Saccharomyces cerevisiae S288C: one gene and its partners. The protein of the gene in region 3 purifies or fractionates together with the protein of the main gene of each other region. This does not show direct contact. Each region holds a gene or a part of one and is shown on either strand. Other genes may lie near its edges.

Region 1 (5,050 bases), on a different chromosome or scaffold from region 3:
AAGAACAACTGTCCGCGTTGATGGAATTGTTCCCCCAGTTTTCTAAATATCAATTATCTCAAACGTTGCTTGCCTATGATAATAACATTGAATTAGTAACGAATAAAATATTTGAGGATCCTACCATTATCGAAGCATTCTCCAGAGAACCTGCGGAGGAAGAAGTAGAGCCGGTGTCAGATGGTGATAATGCATCCTTTACTGAAGAACTGAGTATATTGGATAGAGGAGATAGCTCAAAAAATAAAGAGCTAGACAAAAAGATTATCTCGGAGGGTGTTCCGGATGAATTAAGAAATAAAACTTTGACAAGAGCATTGAAACTTTTATACGAGGCTGATGAAGATGAAAGGGATGACACTTATGATGAAGCCGATGTGAACCGGTCCGATCCTTCGAAAAGAATTGGACTTCAAGAAGACGAAGAAAGCTATGATACAAAAGATGATTCTAATGAAGTGCGACAAGATCATAACTATCATATTGTTGAAGCTTACTTGTGGAATCTATTGAAAGAGGATCCGAAATTATTTGAGAGATCAAAAAGAGGTACAAAAGTCAGGAAAACTATGAAAGAAATGACTTCATGGTCGGATGAAAAAATCGAAGGTTGGTGTCGGATGTTAGAAAGATCTCCTACCCGAGCAAGACTTTTAGAAAAGAAGTTTATGTTCAAAGGAAATAGCAAAACAGGGAAAACGTCTTATGTTCATAATCGTGATAGCCAAAATGATGGAAATGTCGTCAAAGAACAAGCCAAACAAAAAAAATCTGAAAATATTAAGAAACATGAACCTCAATCTACTGAACAGAAGAAAAGACAGCATGCTAAGAATGAAAAAAGGAAAGGGGCTAGAGCTAACCATAACCGTAAGAAGGGGCACGATAAAAAATTGGCTCGTGCGGGAAATAACGCTATTTGATAAAATGCATCAGCATACAAGATAGACAAGCGTATGTAAGTTTACTAGACGGTATACAATTATGTAACGTATTATAAGTTATTCAGCGTCGCGTTCAGGAAGTGCTTTTTTTAATAATTTTTCCCGCCGACTAGTAAAACTTTGCCTTCAATTAGCGTCCTTTACTATTAAATTTTGCTTTTCTTACTGGCTTTAGAAGCAGCTACCTTTCCCTCCAATTTATTCCAAAGCTCATCTGCGTCTTCTTCAAGTTCTGTAACCTTCCTTTTTTGCTTCCCTTTGGCAGCTTTCGCACTTGGACTTAGTGGCATCTCGATTTCAACGTCATCCAGCATAACAATAAAATTTATACGGGACCCAACATAAACCTTCACCAGCATTTTGTTAGTTTTTATATCGAAGATCCGAACATACCTATCTAAACCACCTTGTAAAAGATATTTGCCGTCATGTACATGAATATAGGTTGACGAACCAGTGATATCATCTCTACCCACCTTGCCCAACATTCTTCCATTACCATCGAATTTAAAAACATTCTTTTTGTAGTCAGTAGTAATCACATTCAGTTCATTAAAGGTTTCAGATTGAAAATTCCCCAACGAAGAGACAACATTTTCTCCCTTGGCATCAAAAACTTCCATCTGAGATAATGGTTCACGGTTAGGTAATAAATCTATCTGAGCGAACGGTTTTCTGCCATGTTGTGTGCTGTATTTGGTGAGGTGGGACCAACGGGTTATGGCTGCAAACTGGTAGTTCAGCTTACCCTTTTCAGTTTTACCAGGGGAGGGCTCCAAAAATCTTAGGGCCATGGGCCATACTGGGACTCTCATATCCAACCTGTCGTTTTTAACATTCTTGGCTTCCCAAATTTGCTTTAAAGATTGGAAACTCGAATCTATTTCCACTAATTTTATTAAATTCTCCTCCCCTCCGTATGCAAATATATATTTATCAGTATCGGTATCTTCTAGATCATATAACTGAAGAAATTCTACTGGTGCTTTCAGTCCAAGGGATGCTAGTTTTATTAACTTTTTATCTTCTCCTTTTTTTATAATATGTAATAATCCCGATTTGGTAGCAGCTACGAATGTGTTATTCGACGAATCCTTTTTTATGGGACATAATGTGACAAAACCATCCACCAACTTGGTTCTTTTAACAGATTTACTTGAAAGTGATTCCAATTTGGCATCATCAAAAAGGTCTGAAACTGAGCTGGTTATCTCAAACTCGGATATGTCAAATTTGGGTAGATCATCGGAAAGGCTCTTTTCATTTTTGCTTTCTCCTTTGGGATCGACCTGGAGAGCTTCATTTTCTTTAAGGTGTTTCGAAATCTTTACAAGTTCGACGACCCCTGAATTCCTTGCTAAGATGGCTTCATCTTCGGATATCACCCACATCCTGTCAACGTAAGCTTTCAATCCTTCGGCTAGATGAGGTGCCACATGAAAAGGCTGCAGTGCTGATTGTACGGAAGTGTCAGTCCCGATGTTACACAAAACTTCCTTTATGGATCCACTATCCACACAGCTGACTAGTAACCTCATTTTACGATCGAAGCTGGGCCTATTTATGGTTAAATTTTCTCTGTATTATGTTCATTGAAGTGAGGCTTCGAGATTGGGCATCGCTTTACAAAATTTTTCAGCTTTATTTTATTACCAAAAAAATACCCGGAAACCATCAATAACAAACACCGATTCAAGTAGCAGCAAAAGTAGTTCATGAGCGAAAACAATAGATTGGCTTTAAAAAGGAAGCAAAGGACGCCTCAGTGTAGTTGATAGCCTGTTAAAATGTCTACACAGCAGCAATCTTACACAATTTGGTCTCCACAAGATACTGTTAAAGATGTCGCTGAGTCGCTTGGGTTGGAAAATATCAACGATGACGTGTTGAAAGCACTTGCTATGGACGTTGAATACCGTATTCTAGAGATTATTGAACAGGCAGTCAAGTTTAAAAGACACTCTAAAAGAGATGTTTTAACTACAGACGATGTATCGAAGGCCCTGCGTGTTCTGAATGTGGAACCTTTATATGGATATTATGATGGCTCTGAAGTTAATAAAGCTGTATCATTTAGTAAGGTTAACACAAGTGGAGGACAGTCGGTTTACTACCTGGATGAGGAAGAAGTAGATTTTGATAGATTAATAAATGAGCCATTACCGCAAGTGCCTCGTCTACCAACTTTTACTACACATTGGCTAGCAGTTGAAGGGGTTCAACCTGCCATAATCCAAAATCCAAATTTGAATGATATAAGGGTATCCCAACCACCATTTATTAGAGGTGCTATTGTCACTGCTTTGAATGATAACAGCCTCCAAACACCTGTAACGTCGACGACAGCAAGTGCTTCTGTGACGGATACAGGCGCCTCTCAACACCTGTCTAATGTTAAACCAGGACAGAATACTGAAGTCAAACCTTTAGTGAAACACGTTTTATCCAAAGAATTACAGATTTATTTCAATAAGGTCATTTCAACCTTGACAGCGAAGAGTCAAGCTGATGAAGCTGCACAGCATATGAAACAAGCAGCTTTGACTTCACTACGAACTGATAGTGGCCTGCACCAACTGGTTCCATATTTTATTCAATTTATTGCCGAACAAATCACACAAAATCTTTCCGATTTACAATTGCTAACAACAATTTTGGAAATGATTTACTCTTTACTAAGCAATACTTCTATTTTCCTGGACCCTTATATTCATTCGTTAATGCCTTCCATTTTAACCTTGCTATTAGCAAAAAAACTTGGTGGATCACCAAAAGATGATTCGCCGCAAGAAATTCATGAATTTTTAGAAAGAACGAATGCACTACGTGATTTTGCCGCATCTTTGTTGGACTATGTATTGAAAAAATTTCCTCAAGCATACAAATCCCTGAAGCCAAGAGTAACTAGGACACTGCTAAAGACATTTTTGGACATAAACCGTGTTTTTGGGACTTACTATGGGTGCTTAAAGGGTGTATCGGTACTAGAAGGTGAATCCATCAGATTCTTCTTAGGAAACCTAAATAATTGGGCGCGCTTGGTATTCAATGAAAGCGGAATAACTCTAGACAATATAGAGGAACATTTGAACGATGACTCCAATCCAACTAGGACCAAATTTACTAAAGAAGAAACTCAAATCTTGGTTGATACTGTAATTAGTGCATTGTTAGTTCTAAAAAAGGATTTACCAGATTTGTACGAGGGTAAAGGTGAAAAAGTTACGGATGAGGATAAGGAAAAATTGCTAGAGAGGTGTGGTGTCACTATTGGATTTCACATTTTGAAAAGAGACGACGCAAAAGAATTAATTAGTGCGATATTTTTTGGCGAATAGTGAGAATCGGTTTATACTAATAGTACAACGGTAATGTTATATAACAGTTTTTACATACGCCATTGTATGTATATATATATATATGCATGATGAGTTATTTAATTGTATACTCAAAGGCCCCCGAAGTGCGAAATTGTTGTAGCTTAGTTTTATTTTATTCCCTTTTCGTCCAAGAAAAGCTACAAAGATGGAGTTGGGTCAACTACTTGCCAGCGAAGGTGGTCTCGCAGTTTCTTATTCTATGTGGATTCTGGAGCAAATAAACGTCTTCTTACTCTCCTTTTTGAGCTATTTTCCGGGGGCTTATTAGTGGGAGTAGAGGTAATATTGGAGGTATTTTTTCTGCCTTCATGCGTATCATCATCCTTGAAATTTAGCGGCGATTCAATGATGCTTTGAAGTTGCGCCTTTTTATTAGGTGTCACAGTTCTTTTTTTCACAGCAGGAGTGGCTTGAACTTGTACGTTTTCCTCAGAGTCTACACGTTCATGTAGGCGTATCGTTTCATTGATATCTTTACGTTTCCCAACTCTGCGAAAAGAGTTATTCATAGTTTTGTATGCATTAATAGTTGAGTGCGAGAAAGGCGTTTTGAGTGTGATAGTTGATGAATTCGGTACTCTTGTTGTGCTTAAGTCAGAGACAGAAAACTGCCGTTTTTGTAAATGATTCATCGTTAGATCAGACTTCGTCCTTCCCAATTGTGAAGGGCGCTTTAAGCTTCTAGTTTCACTTTCGAGAAATTCATTCAAGTTAGAGTTCGTTCTA
Region 2 (5,807 bases), on a different chromosome or scaffold from region 3:
CACAGGCTGGTACAGGTTATATTGTGGGCGGGTTAATTTCTTTTGGCTTTTTACATTATCATGGTACCGCTTTCACCTCTTGGCAAATAATGTTTTTGGTCGTTGGTCTGGTTACAGTTGCGTTTGGTGTTCTAACATTCTTATACCTTCCAGATAACGTCACCAATGCTTGGTTCCTAAACAAAGAGGAAAAAATTCAAGTTGTTGAGCATATCAGAGCTAACCAAACTGGCCTGGAAACAAAGAAGTTTAAGAAGCAGCAAGTTAAAGAACTATTCCTTCATGATAAGTTTACTTGGCCGATGCTTTTATTAACTGCATGTTCTCAAATTTCTACTGGTGCCATTGGTACATTTTCAGTGACCATCACTGGTACTTTTGGTTTCGACAAGTACGAAACAGCATTACTGCAGTTGCCTATTGGTGCCATTACGGCTATGATTATTCTTATAACAACTCAAATGTTGTCCCGCTGGGGTCATATCACACTCATAACCACATCTATGTATATTCCAGCTATTATAGGTTGTATCGTTCTTATCAGTTTACCCTTATCCCATAAGATCGGTAACTTATTTTCTCTGTACTTGCTTTACAGTGGTTCCTGTGTCATTACCAATATTTACATCTGGAATTCATGCAACACCTCCGGTTACACCAAAAGAGTTTTTAGAAATGCTATTACAATGATTGTATACAATGTCTCCTGTATTATTGCTCCACAGATGTTTAGGGCATACTCTGCTCCACGTTACATACCAGCAAAGATTGCCTTATTGGTCACTCAGTGTGTTTGTGTTCCCCTACAATTATACATTGGCTACATTTGCAAGAAGGAGAACGAAAAGCGTGATAAGGAACAAGAAGGTCAAGAAAGGAAGAAGTACCAATTTTTGGACTTGACTGATATCGAAAACAGAAATTTCAGGTACATTTACTAATAATCAACTTTTAATTTACAATATATAATATTTTTAGTCTGTAATATTCAATATTCAAAGACACCCAAACATTCATTGCACTTGGTATTTACCAAAAAATTGAAGAGAAAATTTTTGAGATGACCATGGATGAGGCAATGAAAGTCGAAATTTGATCCCCGCTACTAACTTCTAAACATATCGTCAGGACAATTGAGCTGAAAATGTCTAATCCAGATGATTTAGATGATGGACTCGCCTATGATTTTGATGCCGAACATGAAGTAATTTTTGACGCCAAGGATGGTAGTCCCCCAACCAAAAAGGTACAAAAGAGGTCTATAGAACAAGATGACGATGACGTTGATGATATAGATGGGAAAAAAGAGGAGAGAAATTCAGAAGATGATTCGAATAGACCTATTTCGAAAAGACAGAAAAAGCTACAGAAAAAATCAAAGCTAATTGAGAAAAAGAAAGAGGAAAGCCAGTATATCGTCTCACAACGAAAAGCACTTCCAGCAAGTTCACCAGAAAAAATTATTGAGTACCTAACAACTTTGATACGAGAAAAAAATCCTGACTTGAGTGTTTTAGAATTAGAGGAACTTTACTTCAAAAGAAATGATTTTCTTTCGACAGAAAAATTTGACGCTGAACGCAGATTAAGCAATTTCCCAGCCTTTATTCAAAAATTTTCCGTAGCTCCAAAAAAAATTGTTTTTTCTATGTCTAATATTAGAGTAGCAGACGTTTATCGTAGTCTAAACGGTGGCAAAAATTGCGTCAAATTATTCTCTAAAAGTAAACTAAAGGATGACATAGCCACCGTGGAACGTTTACTTACTGACAGCTCTAAAAAATCAAACAAAAATAAAGATTCACTATATTTTATTGCCACTCCAACAAGAATGCAGAAAATTATAGAAGCTACTGACTTACTTTTCCAAGGTAAGGAAAAGTTAGATATCATTCTTGATGCAAGTTATTTAGATCCTAAGGATAATACTATATTATCATTCGAGAATGCAGCCGTCCTCTGCCAAGTCTTGAAAACCTTTTTGAATAAAAAAAGCTCCGTGAAAATACTGTTATATTAATAATAGCGCTTTTTCACTGAGGTTCTACACATAAGATTACGTTTTTAAATACCAGCCTTAATTTAGTATATTAAATATTTCATTCTAGCATTTGATGGGGTACTTCAAATTATCTTCTTTAAATTGTCCAAAGCCCTTCCAAAAAGTAAAATCAAAGGAGAAACTTCGAGAACGCCTAGGCGCGCAGCAAACTCCATATATAACAATGTATTTTTTCTTTAACTACATAAAACCAATTTATCCTATTTTACTCTTTCCATGGAGTGTATGCTTTTTTGTAGTTACTTAGATTCAGAAATTCAATGTCTTCCCTCATTTTCTTCACCGTAGAGTAGACCATGGGACGTCGTTTTACTTTAGTTTTTGAATTTTTTCAGCGATGCCCGAAAACTGAAAATTTTATCTCATCTCATTCACCTGCCTGCCATATATAGTATTTTCATGGTATAAACTTGGCATTTTATGTCTTCAATCATAAGAGTATAATTCCGGGATAAAAGCTGGAGATATCATAGTAATAATGGCTAAGAGAAATAGATCTCAATTTCGCATTCAGGAAAGGACTGCAAAGAAAAGAAAGCACGAAGATTCCTTGTTAGAAGGCAATGTTTTCCAAAATGCACCGGAAGATATGGATGAAAATACCATATATAGCGCAAAAGGCTCATCCTGGGATGAAGAAGAACAGGATTACGAAATGGTTCCTCGGAAGAATCGGTCTGATACATCAAATCTTGTTGAAGGCCTGCCTATAAAAGTTAACGGTAAAGTTGAAAGAAAATTGCATAAAGCCCAAGAAAAACCAAAGGACGATGATGAGGAAGACGAAGACTCTAATGACTCTTCAGAAGATGATGAGGGACCTAATGAAGAACAAGAAGCAGAGGCAAAGGAGGATGAGCCTGATACGGAGGAAAAAATTCTGCAACTAAAAGAAGACATTGCCGATTTAGTCACTAAAGTTATGGAGGAGCCTGAAGAAAATACTGCTGCGTTGGGGCGTCTATGTAAAATGGTGGAATCTAAAAATCCTAATACTTGTAAGTTTTCCATGTTGGCTTTGGTCCCCGTGTTTAAGAGTATCATACCAGGCTATAGAATTCGACCACTAACTGAAACTGAAAAGAAGGAAAAAGTTTCTAAAGAAGTCTCCAAGCTTAGAAACTTTGAGCAAGCCTTAGTTTATAACTACAAAAATTACGTCGGAAGATTACAGAGTCTTTCAAAAACTCCCAGTAATGCTGCTCCTATACAGGTTTCATTAGGGATTTTGGCCACTCAAGCCGCAAAAGAATTGATTTCAACGGCATCCCATTTCAACTTTAGAACAGACATTTTCACTTTACTGTTGCGTAGAATTTGTAAACCAAGAATTTCAACAGATCCAACTTCCATTCAAATAATCCAGACATTTGAAACTCTATTAAATGAGGACGAAGAGGGCTCAATATCATTCGAGATACTAAGAATTTTCAACAAAATACTAAAGACGAGGAACTTCAACATCGAAGAATCTGTTTTAAATATGTTATTATCGTTAGATGTCTTACATGACTATGACCCTAATACTAAATTGAAAGGTAACGTTAGCGCTCCTAAGCTCAAAAAGAAAGATAGGGTCCATCTTTCTAAGAAGCAAAGAAAAGCTCGAAAAGAGATGCAACAAATTGAGGAAGAAATGCGTAACGCTGAGCAAGCTGTTTCTGCGGAGGAAAGAGAAAGAAACCAATCCGAAATTCTAAAAATCGTTTTCACTATATATTTGAATATCTTGAAAAACAATGCAAAAACACTCATTGGATCGGTTTTGGAAGGTCTAACGAAGTTTGGTAATATGGCCAACTTTGATCTATTAGGGGACTTCCTCGAAGTAATGAAAGAACTTATTAGTGACACTGAATTCGATAACCTTTCCTCTGCTGAGGTCCGTAAGGCTTTGCTTTGTATCGTTAGTGCATTCTCACTTATTTCAAATACACAATATATGAAAGTTAATGTGGATTTGTCCAAATTCGTCGATGGGCTTTACGCGCTATTACCTTATATCTGTCTTGATGCAGACATCGAATTATCTTATAGATCGCTAAGGTTGGCTGACCCACTCAATAACGAAATAATAAAACCATCAGTTAACGTTTCTACCAAAGCAGAACTTCTGCTAAAGGCTCTGGACCATGTATTTTTCCGCTCTAAATCAGGGACTAAAGAAAGGGCTACGGCGTTTACCAAAAGATTGTACATGTGCATCAGCCATACCCCAGAAAAAACAAGTATTGCCATTCTTAAATTTATTGATAAATTAATGAATAGATATCCAGAAATTTCAGGCCTTTACTCTTCCGAGGATAGAATAGGCAACGGTCATTTCATAATGGAAGCCGATAATCCTTCAAGGAGTAACCCAGAGGCAGCAACCTTATGGGATAATGCTCTTCTTGAAAAGCATTATTGTCCTGTAGTTACAAAGGGGCTACGCTCTCTATCATCTAGATCTAAAGAGTGTTCTAAATAGCTAGATCCTATATATTAAGTATATAAAGAGCCACGATTATCGTTAGCCAATCATTTTTGCCGTGTCGAGTAGAATTGTATAAATATTAGCATTGTATGAAATTTGAATGAATTACCGCAAAAGTATTATACGTAAGCAATAGAAACAAATATCAGATTCAAGTTCACCAAATCAATATTAACAGCTTACTATATTGTCTTTTTTTATGGAAGAACATTACCGTGAAAACCCGGTAGGAGAATTTTGTTCGGTCGGACTTCCCCATTAGGCGTATATTAAGGGCCTAGAAAATAAGACAAAACGGCTTCTTATCTAAGCTGCTGTGAGTGACAGCATGTATTAACTGAATCAAACGGAGCCCTTTGATGAACATGGCAATCCAAACAATTAAATACATTTTTTGGCTACTGCCGATATTAGGGCTTACACAAGCACTTCTACAAAACCCAGGGGACGATTTTCCATTTAGCACAGTAATAGATATCCTCTCAGAAAATGTTGAATTCTCAACTTTTTTAAGGATTATTCAGAAAACTGGTCACGTACAGTACTTAAATGAGCTACAGAACTTTACACTTTTTGCTCCGATTAATTCAGCATTTATTAAGGGGGACCAAACCACAGACCAATTTGAGGAGCATTTCCATATTGAAGATTTCCTTATTCATGATAGGGTATTGCAAGTGAGAGACCTTGAAAACGGTACCTACCTGGAGAAAAGAGCTGCAAAAGCACCTTTATTGCTGAGAAAGCATGAGCGCCATTGCTTTGTCAATGAAATTGCTGTTGTCGAACCCGATTTGCTGCCTAGTTTCCAGAATGCTTCATTACAAGGTATTAACAATCTTTTACTAATTCAACCTCAAATAAATGAGTTGCTGGTACAACTAGATGAAGAAACCCAAGATTTAAAGATATTTAGTGATTTTATCAGCAGTTTTTCAAACTATAATGCATATACAAACTCATCCACAGTTTTAGTGCCCTTAGATGTTAATTTTCGAAAATTCTTCAATACAATCGAAATAAACTATCTACTTGACAAATATAATAAATTGGGTAAATCTAATACAATTTCTCAGGCCAAATGGGCCGCAGATAGAACTTCCCTTCTTCAAGAACTCATTATTGATGACGTGTATGGTGGTATTTTACCCAAGGAACTAATTTTAGAAAATAAAAACAATCGAAAACTTTTTATGAAGAGTAATTCAGAAGGTACATCAGTAAGTGTAAATAATTCAGATTACTCACCCATATCAAACAGAATTTTTG
Region 3 (5,014 bases):
GAAAAAGACTGGACTTTTAAGCTGAATCCAGGCTTGTCGAGTTTTGAAAAAAAACCTCAAGATGCGTACAAATCTCACATCAAGCCGTTACTAGATTTTGCTAAGAATATTATCCCTGAATCACATTGGTCGAGTTGTCCCGTTTTTATTCAAGCAACCGCGGGCATGCGCCTTTTACCTCAAGACATACAATCTTCCATTTTGGATGGTTTGTGTCAGGGGCTCAAACACCCTGCAGAATTTTTGGTTGAGGATTGCTCAGCACAAATTCAAGTCATTGATGGTGAAACCGAAGGTTTATATGGCTGGCTTGGCTTAAACTATCTATATGGACACTTTAATGACTATAATCCAGAGGTCTCTGACCATTTTACATTTGGGTTTATGGACATGGGCGGTGCCTCTACTCAGATTGCGTTTGCACCGCATGATTCAGGAGAAATAGCTAGACATAGAGATGACATCGCCACCATCTTCTTGAGGAGTGTTAACGGAGATTTGCAGAAATGGGACGTTTTTGTTAGTACGTGGTTAGGGTTTGGTGCCAATCAGGCTAGAAGAAGGTACTTGGCTCAGTTGATCAATACCCTTCCAGAAAACACAAATGATTACGAAAATGATGACTTCTCTACAAGGAACTTGAATGATCCATGTATGCCGCGAGGAAGCAGCACGGATTTTGAATTTAAAGATACCATATTTCACATCGCGGGTTCTGGGAATTACGAACAATGTACAAAATCTATTTATCCGTTACTTTTAAAGAACATGCCTTGTGATGACGAGCCGTGCTTGTTTAATGGTGTTCATGCTCCTCGAATAGACTTTGCCAATGACAAATTTATAGGTACTTCTGAGTACTGGTACACTGCCAACGACGTATTCAAACTTGGGGGCGAATACAACTTTGACAAATTTAGCAAAAGCCTAAGGGAGTTTTGCAATTCCAATTGGACGCAAATATTAGCGAACAGTGATAAAGGCGTGTATAATTCTATTCCGGAGAATTTTTTGAAAGATGCATGCTTTAAGGGCAATTGGGTCCTTAATATACTTCATGAAGGGTTTGATATGCCTCGAATAGATGTCGACGCAGAAAATGTCAATGACAGGCCCTTATTTCAAAGTGTGGAAAAAGTCGAAGAACGAGAGTTATCGTGGACACTAGGCAGAATTTTACTTTATGCCTCAGGTAGCATATTGGCAGGTAATGATGACTTCATGGTGGGTATTGCGCCCAGTGAAAGAAGAACTAAGCTCACTGGTAAGAAATTCATACCTGGCAAGTTACTGGAGTCTGATCAACTACGCAAGCAAAGTTCCAGCCTTTCTAATAAAGGATTTTTGATGTGGTTCGCAATTATTTGTTGCATATTTTACTTGATCTTTCATAGGTCACACATAATCAGAAGACGTTTTTCCGGTCTGTACAACATTACCAAGGACTTTAAGACAGGCATAAGGAGAAGGTTGAAATTTCTAAGGAGATCAGATCCATTTTCCAGATTGGAGGAAGGTGAACTTGGAACAGACGTAGATGGCTTCAAAGATGTGTACAGGATGAAGAGTAGCAGTATGTTTGATCTTGGTAAGAGTTCAGCCACAATGCAAAGGGAGCACGAACCACAAAGGACAGCAAGTCAGTCCGCTAATCTCGCTCCGTCAAACTTACGACCTGCGTTTTCTATGGCTGATTTTTCCAAATTTAAGGACAGTAGGCTATATGATTGAATGTGGTGGTGTATGTGCCATAAATAGAAGCGCATATACTTCTCACATAAATATATGTATATATCTAGTGAGGTGCCATAGTATTGCATTAACAGTGATTCACGTCACTCTAAACGTCGCTTCTGTTTTTTTTTTGAAATTTTTTTCTCACAGCTGCTGAAAATTTTCGAGCGAGGCGATGAGATGAGCTAATTATATCAAGAGGGAATTGTACTAGTAATACTTTGGTACACACAAGAACAAGCATATAGGTATACAGTCACGACTATAATATCATAAAATGAGAGTCAGAAAGCGCCAATCTAGAAGAACATCTACCAAGTTGAAGGAAGGTATTAAGAAGAAGGCTTCTGCCCATAGAAAAAAGGAAAAGAAGATGGCTAAGAAGGACGTTACTTGGAGATCAAGGTCTAAGAAAGACCCTGGTATTCCTTCTAACTTTCCTTATAAGGCTAAGATCTTAGAAGAAATAGAAGCCAAAAAAATGAAGGACTTAGAGGAAAGAGAGCTTGCCAAACAACAACGATTGGAGGCTAGGAAAGCTGCCAAGGAACAAGGCGTTGATGCAATGGATGAAGACATGATAGAAGACGATGAAAATGGATTAGCAGCTTTGGTTGAGTCTGCTCAGCAAGCAGCTGCTGAATATGAGGGCACACCCTCTAATGATGCAGATGTTCGTGATGATGAATTGGACGTCATTGATTATAACATTGATTTCTACGGTGAAGATGTAGAAGGCGAGTCAGAACTTGAAAAATCTAGGAAAGCTTATGACAAGATTTTCAAATCCGTTATTGATGCTTCTGATGTCATCCTATATGTTTTGGATGCCAGAGATCCAGAGAGTACAAGATCAAGAAAGGTGGAAGAAGCCGTCTTACAAAGTCAGGGTAAAAGGCTGATTTTAATACTGAACAAAGTTGATTTAATTCCCCCACATGTATTGGAACAATGGTTAAATTACTTAAAGTCTAGTTTTCCTACAATCCCATTAAGAGCTTCTTCTGGTGCAGTCAACGGAACTTCTTTCAACAGAAAGCTAAGCCAAACCACTACTGCAAGTGCACTGCTAGAGTCGCTGAAAACTTACTCTAATAACAGCAATTTGAAGAGATCTATTGTAGTGGGTGTTATCGGTTATCCAAATGTTGGTAAATCATCTGTTATCAACGCTCTTTTGGCGCGCCGTGGAGGTCAATCAAAGGCTTGCCCAGTCGGTAATGAAGCAGGTGTTACTACCTCTCTGAGAGAGATCAAAATCGACAACAAGTTGAAGATTCTAGATTCTCCTGGTATATGTTTCCCAAGCGAAAATAAGAAAAGATCGAAAGTTGAACATGAAGCTGAATTAGCTCTTCTAAATGCTCTACCGGCAAAACACATTGTTGATCCGTATCCAGCTGTCTTAATGTTGGTAAAGAGACTAGCTAAATCAGATGAAATGACAGAGAGCTTTAAAAAGCTGTATGAAATTCCTCCTATTCCTGCTAATGATGCAGATACGTTTACAAAACATTTCTTAATTCACGTCGCTCGTAAAAGAGGTAGATTAGGGAAAGGCGGTATTCCAAATCTTGCCAGTGCTGGTCTTTCGGTACTTAATGACTGGAGGGATGGTAAAATTCTTGGTTGGGTTTTACCAAATACATCGGCAGCTGCATCTCAACAAGATAAACAAAATCTAAGTACTATAAACACTGGCACTAAACAAGCTCCAATTGCAGCAAATGAATCCACCATTGTATCCGAGTGGTCCAAAGAATTTGATTTGGATGGATTATTTAGCTCTCTTGACAAGGCCATAGATGCTAGCAAAGATCAAGATACAATGATGGAATAAATAAGTCATATGTAAGGCTATTTTTATGTAAGGGGTGTTTCTTATTTTTTCTTTATCATCAAATAACATTACTGTAAATTATAGGTGTGCTTTTAAACTCATTACTATACATCTTATTTTTTTTAGTTTTACTGCCTTTTTGCTCTTTGGACAAAGAAATCATTAAAAAGTTCCAACTTTTATTATGTTTCATATATAAGATATACAAAATATAAAATGCAAAACGAATTTCAGAGATAGCATGACTTATGAAATTGGGGACAGACTCAAGATTGGTGGATATTTTTGCACCATCAAATTCATAGGTGTTATTAAGCCGTGGCCTTCGGTAAAAGCTTATGGGGTGGAATGGGACGATCACAGCCGGGGAAAACATTCTGGAACAATAGATGACATACACTATTTTGACGTTCAAATTCCTAATTCAGGATCATTTTTGAAGGAGTCTAAGATTAAATCTCCAGGTGTACGCAGAATTACGTTTTACGAAGCATTGTCAGAAAAGTATGGAGGCTCGAGTAATAACATTAATGACCTATCTATAGGTAACAAAAGGGTTGAGGGTTTGGGATTCGATGAACTAAATGCGAGAAATAAGAATTATAAGAAGTTAAGAAAAATAGCTTTGCGAGATTCCGATGTCGCTATATTGTTTCAAAATCAAGATGAGTTAAACCGTGTAATACAAAATTGTGTGAACGTCAAGGACCTTGATTTATCGCTTAATCTATTCACGAATATCAACTCTTTATGTGAGTTCATAGAACCTTTGAAGAACTTGGAGAGCCTTAATATATCTCAAAATAAACTTTTAAGCGGTTGGGACAACTTGAAAGAATATGACCTATCACACATCAAAACTTTACGTCTGTCTTCCTGTGGTTTAAGTTATAAACATATTGGTAAGCTGCTCAAAAGCTTCAGGACACTGAAAATGTTGGATTTAAGCTATAACAACTTGACCAGTGCGGGAATCCAAAATTTTGAGAATGAAATACCGTGTACTTTGGAGGAACTGAATATTAGCGGAAATAATCTTATATCGTTTCCATTGTTTCCAAAAAATTTGACATTGAAAGGTTTAAATGTCTCCAATAATCAAATTTCTAGAGCACCAAGTATTGCTATTTATTCTGTTGAATCCTTGGATATAACAGATAACAAATTTAAGGAAAGAAGTTTGATAGATGATTTGAATAAGACATTTCCCTCTTTGAAAAATATCCATCTGAGTGGCAACGAATTCAACTACAACGGAAATTATATTAACGTCGAAGAACAGGCTACTTTTTATGAAGTACTGGCTAGGTTTGATCGTGTGATGGTATTGAATGGATCAATATGTGATGTAAAAACAAGAAGAGAGGCTGAGATGTTTTTTGTTTCCAAGGTAATGAATAACGAATTGAGCTATGACACCAATCTGCCGCGTTGGTCAAG
Region 4 (6,248 bases), on a different chromosome or scaffold from region 3:
GAGGACGAGTTTTGGACGAACGTGGGAATAATGAAACGGTACTTAACAACGTTGTGCCGCCTAAGGAAGATTTGGATGCATTATTGAAGACATTCAGGGTACAAGGGCCCGTTGGCCTTGAAGAAAATGAGAAGAAGCTCTTATTAGGATGGCTAGATGCGCATAGAAAAATGGAAAAAGGCTCTATGACTGAAGAAGACGTTCAACTGATTCAAAGTTTGGAAGAGTGGGAAATGAATGATATAGAGGGACAACATACTCATTATGATTTATTGCCAGGGGGAGATGAGTTTGGCGTAGATCAAGATGAGTTGGATGCTATGAAGGAAATGGGCTTTTAGCAATGTCATTGAAGGTAATAATCCAAACGTGCGTGTGGGCATCTATACATATAGGTTTATATATATTGTGTAAATAAAGCTTGTAGAAAGAGCCTGGTTCGAGTGTTTGATTTTTTCTTCTTGGGCGTTATTATACAATATCTACTTCAAATTATTTATCTAGGTGGTCCATAAGCGAGCCGTATTATCAGCACCGGCAGAAAACAGCCAAGCTTCCCTCGGATGCCAAATAGCATCAAGAACACCCAGACTATTGATTACTTTATGACCGGTTAGTTTCTTTAGTGGCACAATCATCGGATTTTTCATCATGTCATCATAAACAGTGGCATGGAAAACATGTATGGTACCGTCATCAGCGGCAGAGCTGAATAGAGGTAACTTTTTGTGGAAATTCACACTTCTGACGGCTTTTTCATGATATCTTAGTGTCTTGTAAGGTGTGCTAGCCAAATCCAGGTCGTGCCATAAAACTCTCTTGTCAAACGATGACGCAATTAAATTATCACCCCTTGGGTGAATATCGATTTTCGATAACCAACGGGCACCAGGCAACAGTTTCTTGACCAATATTTGTTGAGATAAATCATAAATTCTGACATATCTTTGGGAACAGACAAATAATTGAGGTTTAAAAGGATGGAACTTCGCATCCATAATAATGCCCTTCGATTTTTTGAATGGGGATTGGGTTAAATGCTTGGAAACTTGGTGAATCAAAACAGAAGTGTTACCAGAGTCAGGTTGAACAGTGACAAAGTAATCACCTTTTCTATGCCATGAAAGCTTTTTTACTGTTTTTTTGCAAGAAATAGTGATACAAATATCCTTTTCTAGTTGCTTTTGAGAAGGCTTGTTCCATTGGGCTACTTGTTTTTTTACAGCATTCTTAGCAGATTCATTCTCTCCATCTTCATCGCCATCACCATTCTCGTTCACTTCTAGGTTAGATTTTTTAACAGTCCCAAAAGTATCGTAGCCAAAACCATCTTCAATCTTAGTTTTGCCGTTATTTTCAATATCGTAGCCGAATATTGGTGGTACTATTAAATGAATGTTTTCACCAACAGCAACGGCGAGAATACCATTATTAGCATCAGGATTCCATTCAATGCATTCAATGTGGTAATCTGGGTTTTCCTCGTCATCGATTAAAGTAGTTCTATAAACTTCTCTACCAGTTAAAATTTCCCATACCCTGACTGTTCCGTCATCAGATCCTGTTGCTAGCCATAATCCAGAAGGATCAATGGATAATGTGCGTACTTTTCCTTTGTGACCAGCGTATATTGTTGAGCAACGAATAGGGAAGGGTCTTAAATCCTTGGGAGAGGGAAGTTCTGGAATTAGAGAATTAGGATCAATATTCAATTTGTTTTTACGGACACGAGGAGCTAAATATAAATCCAAAGATCTTTCAAATCTTTCCCTAATAGATTCACCGTAACCAGGGACCTTTCTTAAGGCAGAATACTTTTGAGGTATGAAGTTTCTTTCTCTTTCACTATATTCAGTATTTTCCCAGGCCTCCTTTTCTTCAGGAGACAAAAGATACTCTTCTGGTGGATTATAACTCTCTTCATTAGTTGGTGGAGGTAATTTTGGTGCCCTTAGATGCATTACATGATCATTTGTTTCCGTAGAATCACCCCATAAATCGTATTGATAGTTTTCAATTTTTTCCTTTTCTTTCATTTCCTTTAATTTTTTAGGAGGAATAATACGGCCCTCTCTGATAGCTCTTACAATTTTCATAACTCTCTTGGCTTCGTTTTTGGATGGAACAAATCTTCTTTTTGGCTCCGGAACAGCAGTTAATGGCATCACTTCTTCGTGTCTCGTGAACCAATCGATTAACGGTTCGTATGGATTTATGCTATCATCAGTTTGTTCGTTCCTTTGGATTTTGGAAATAAGTTCTAATTCCTCTTTGGTTAAGTTCAAACTTGAACCGGAATTCTTGTCCAGTAAACCAGTCCAGCCTTCAGGTAGCTCGATAGAATCCAACAGTTGATCTAAAGCAGAACCCTTGGCAGGTCTCATAATCCTTTTACCGTTGATATCGTATCCAATGTGTGGCATTTCATCGTATGCAGAAAGTGGAATATTACCAATGGTATTTTGCGTTTCGGCATCACTATCATCGCTATCATAAACTGGATTAATTTCAGGTTTGATAATTCTATCACTGCCATCTGCATATTTTGAGTAAATATTCGGATCAACGATCGTTTGCAATTTCACACCCGATAATCTGTCTGTTAAGGAAGTTGTGTCGTCTGAAAACTCAGAACTGTCATAGTCCTCTTCCCCATCACCTTCTTCTTCGGCAAGCAGTTTGTTTAATTCAGCATCGGAGTCATCATCAGAATCATCTTGGGCTTCTTTATCAGAAGATGATTCCTTTTCTTCAACGGCAGACTCGTATTCGTCATCATCCTCGTCACTCTCACTTGCTTCCGCATCGATCAAACCGTCAACGGATAAAAGCTTGTCCTCATCTTCCTCGACATCAGATTCTTCGCTAGCTGCTCTCTTTTTCGACATCTTTGCCTCGGTAGTTTTGTTGTTCTTAGCCATCATTGACCTAGTTATGTTAGAACAGATTTAATACAGTACCTTTCTTCGCTAGGATCTATATGCGAATATATCACATATGTAAATTATAAGCTCATCGCAAAACCAAAAAAAAAAAAATTTTCAATAATTTTTCACTAATCTTCAAAAACAAATGGGGTAACCCGTACAAGAGTTATTAAAACCCAAAATGACAAAATCGCGACAATTCAATCCTACTTAATTAGCAATAACATACTAGCGGTAGAGCTACTATCACATGTTGAACCTTGAATGCTCAATTCATTGTACTCAATACTGCTATCAAAAGAAAAAAAATGTATTAATTATATTCTTGTCAAAATCAATTTTACACTATAAGAGGAAAATGTTCTTCAGTCCTAGTAACATTAGTTTTCTCCCTTTGCTAGAGACTTTACATAATATCCTAGAAGGTAAAATTCGATAATACAGCAGTAAAGTCGTATATTGGTAGCAATCCTTGGTGACGCTGACTTTTTTTTTTTGTAATTTTATTGTTTAGTTCATGATAAAAAACTTCAAATCACTTTTAATCTGGTAGACAGAGAAAACAAATCGAAACGAAAATAGAGAACTACGAATAAAAAAATATAAGTGGAGAAGATCGTCACTACGCATTAAACAATATTGATCGCTCAATGCCAGTACTGCGCGTAAAAGTTTAGTAACTTAACGATTTAGGCACAATTTGAGAAAAATTTCGCCCTGCAGTAAGTATGTTATTCAGTACGATATAAAGCTGAGGTTTTATGCTGGCAACGTTCAGATTTTTTAGGTTATCAGCAATGTTAAAATATTAAATAGGATACTTTTATTGTTTGAGACCACCCTCAATGCCAGATATGTTAAACGCTTTTTTCTGGAGTGAGGTATCATAGAAAAAGGCTCGAGTACATCAAGCACTTAAAGGTTCAACACTCTACTGTTACTTCTTTAAGCTAAGCTATTCATACATAATAGTCCATCAAAGTGGCTCAAATTGCGCATACAGTGTAAAAATGCGTTCAGGGAATAACGATGTCAAGCAGCGTGTGAAAATTGGACACGTTGAATAATAAACTTCCTGGAAACCGTCGCGCGCCACTGCTGTCAGAAAATAGTAGACTACTTAATTTTCAATTCATATTTAGCCTGCTTTTTGATCTATGAAATCGCCCACTCTAAATCAGCGGTGTTTTTGCACGGTTTGTAATTTTAACTTCATTATATGTATTATTCGGTGACTTCACTAAAAAAGAAGGATCTATGCAATATTCTTATCTTCTATTTTTTTTCTTTTCGATTTTTGAAGTTAAACCTTCGTAATGAACAGATTCGAACAGTATACAGCTGATGACAATTACATGTTAAACTTTCATTGATGATAATGGCACGCACTCCACCTGTTAAAGAGGCAGAACGAAGAACCTTTGCTTATAACATAGGTCAGTGTATACTGGATAATAGTATCGAATAACCAGCATAATATTTTCTCTGGAAATACCTTTAAGGGGTTTTTAGAAGAAAAACAAATCCTAGTGCAACTTGCAAGTCATCAAAAATAATCTATCTTATCTCTATATATATATTTGTGTATTTTATATTTTATGACAAAGCTAGAAATATAAAATCAGATACCGCAATAGAAGATATTTCAAATAATAATACCAATCTCATAGCTCAAAACAGGCACTAAGGGAATACTGAAGAAAGTAATGTCTAGGAGTTAGTATAGCTTGAAGTTGCCATCGGTGTCATTTAGGTAGATCTATCTAGATTACGCGCAGCCCTCAGAAAAGCAAGTGATTTCCGAAGTTTCAACCTACCCAGACTATTCACATAAGGTTAATTTATGATTGAACAGTTCAAATAAATCTGCGCCATTCATGAAGATGATTCGATACCGCAATATGCTGCTAAAGTGCTAAAAAAATGATTTCGCCCAGGATCGAACTGGGGACGTTCTGCGTGTTAAGCAGATGCCATAACCGACTAGACCACGAAACCAGGTTTTATTGAAAAATTGCATCTAAAATAACCTATACTAATAAATCTTCTAATAAATCTTCTAACTCTTCGCTGTTCTATGTGATATCGTTGATAGTTAGGTTTTCGTGTTGAAATAATCAATTACATTTATTGACTGGTTTAATATTAATATATTATCATATACAGTGTAAGAAGGTGAGATATATGTGGGTAATTAGATAATTGTTGGGATTCCATTGTTGATAAAGGCTATAATATTAGGTATACAGAATATACTAGAAGTTCTCCTCGAGGATATAGGAATCCTCAAAATGGAATCTATATTTCTACATACTAATATTACGATTATTCCTCATTCCGTTTTATATGTTTATATTCATTGATCCTATTACATTATCAATCCTTGCGTTTCAGCTTCCTCTAACATCGATGACAGCTTCTCATAACTTATGTCATCATCTTAACACCGTATATGATAATATATTGATAATATAACTATTAGTTGATAGACGATAGTGGATTTTTATTCCAACATACCACCCATAATGTAATAGATCTAATGAATCCATTTGTTTGTTAATAGTTTGAATGTTTTTATCGGAAGAGGTTTGGTCATTACGTCTGCAATATTCTTTTTGGTTTCGATATAGCATACGTGCAGATGATTTCCTGATACTTCATCTCTTAGTCTCATTGCTTTAGTACCAAAAAATCTGTTTCTAAATTTCTCTTCATTATTGGATATAATTATACTGATTGTAGATTTACTGTCGGTTAGTAATCCTTTAGTAATTGGTTTCTTGTTAAGTTCTTGCACAAGGTGACTGAGGTTATTTAATAATGGGACAGATTCACTTATCGCGTGTATTTCTGCTTCCGTAGTTGAAGTACATGTTAATGAAGCCTTGGTGGACTTTCCTCCAATTACTTTTCCATTAAGTAAATATATGTTGCCAATTTGTGATTTATAATACGGTTGGTTACCATACGATGCATCGCTTATAACAACTAATTTATTTGTTGGCTTAACAGGTTTGCTTTTGTGCCATATTAATTGCTTATCTCTCGTATTCCATATGAACTGTATCAATTCATATGTCATATCTAACACTTGCTTGGACGGAAATAGTATATGTTGTGCAAGTGTGTTGATGTAGTATAATAGGTCAAATCTAAATTTATATCCAACATATGATGCTAGACCTATCAGCTTTTGCATTTCATGTACCTTCATTTTGTAATCATCTTCTTCTAGCTCTAGTTCTTGCTGGTCTATATATAGACCTGGTTGACCTGGAGCGCTAAGTTTCCTTCCTTTTGGGTTCAAAGGTACGTTTAGTT

What was found.
Region 1: the proteins of NUG1 (region 3) and NSA1 purify together in Saccharomyces cerevisiae (affinity purification with mass spectrometry; 5 studies listed by BioGRID). This does not show direct contact.
Region 2: the proteins of NUG1 (region 3) and NOC3 purify together in Saccharomyces cerevisiae (affinity purification with mass spectrometry; 8 studies listed by BioGRID, with this or other methods). This does not show direct contact.
Region 4: the proteins of NUG1 (region 3) and ERB1 purify together in Saccharomyces cerevisiae (affinity purification with mass spectrometry; 9 studies listed by BioGRID, with this or other methods). This does not show direct contact.

Annotation. Positions count from the first base shown.
Region 1 is NC_001139.9:297,410-302,459, reverse strand, and holds NSA1 (ribosome biosynthesis protein NSA1), read right to left. Parts: upstream 2,483-5,050; coding exon 1,091-2,482; downstream 1-1,090. Other genes in the region: CUE3 (Cue3p), read left to right, coding at 1-923; TATA-binding protein-associated factor TAF6, read left to right, coding at 2,732-4,282; SLD3 (Sld3p), read right to left, coding at 4,522-5,050. UniProt on the Saccharomyces cerevisiae protein: Involved in the biogenesis of the 60S ribosomal subunit.
Region 2 is NC_001144.5:153,068-158,874, reverse strand, and holds NOC3 (Noc3p), read left to right. Parts: upstream 1-2,540; coding exon 2,541-4,532; downstream 4,533-5,807. Other genes in the region: THI73 (Thi73p), read left to right, coding at 1-941; CMS1 (Cms1p), read left to right, coding at 1,145-2,020; YLR001C (uncharacterized protein), read left to right, coding at 4,898-5,807. UniProt on the Saccharomyces cerevisiae protein: Required for synthesis of 60S ribosomal subunits and the transport of pre-ribosomes from the nucleoplasm to the cytoplasm. Also required for initiation of DNA replication.
Region 3 is NC_001137.3:160,712-165,725, forward strand, and holds NUG1 (RNA-binding GTPase NUG1), read left to right. Parts: upstream 1-2,011; coding exon 2,012-3,574; downstream 3,575-5,014. Other genes in the region: YND1 (apyrase), read left to right, coding at 1-1,731; PAC2 (Pac2p), read left to right, coding at 3,816-5,014. UniProt on the Saccharomyces cerevisiae protein: GTPase required for 60S ribosomal subunit export to the cytoplasm.
Region 4 is NC_001145.3:367,594-373,841, forward strand, and holds ERB1 (ribosome biogenesis protein ERB1), read right to left. Parts: upstream 2,925-6,248; coding exon 501-2,924; downstream 1-500. Other genes in the region: CSM3 (Csm3p), read left to right, coding at 1-341.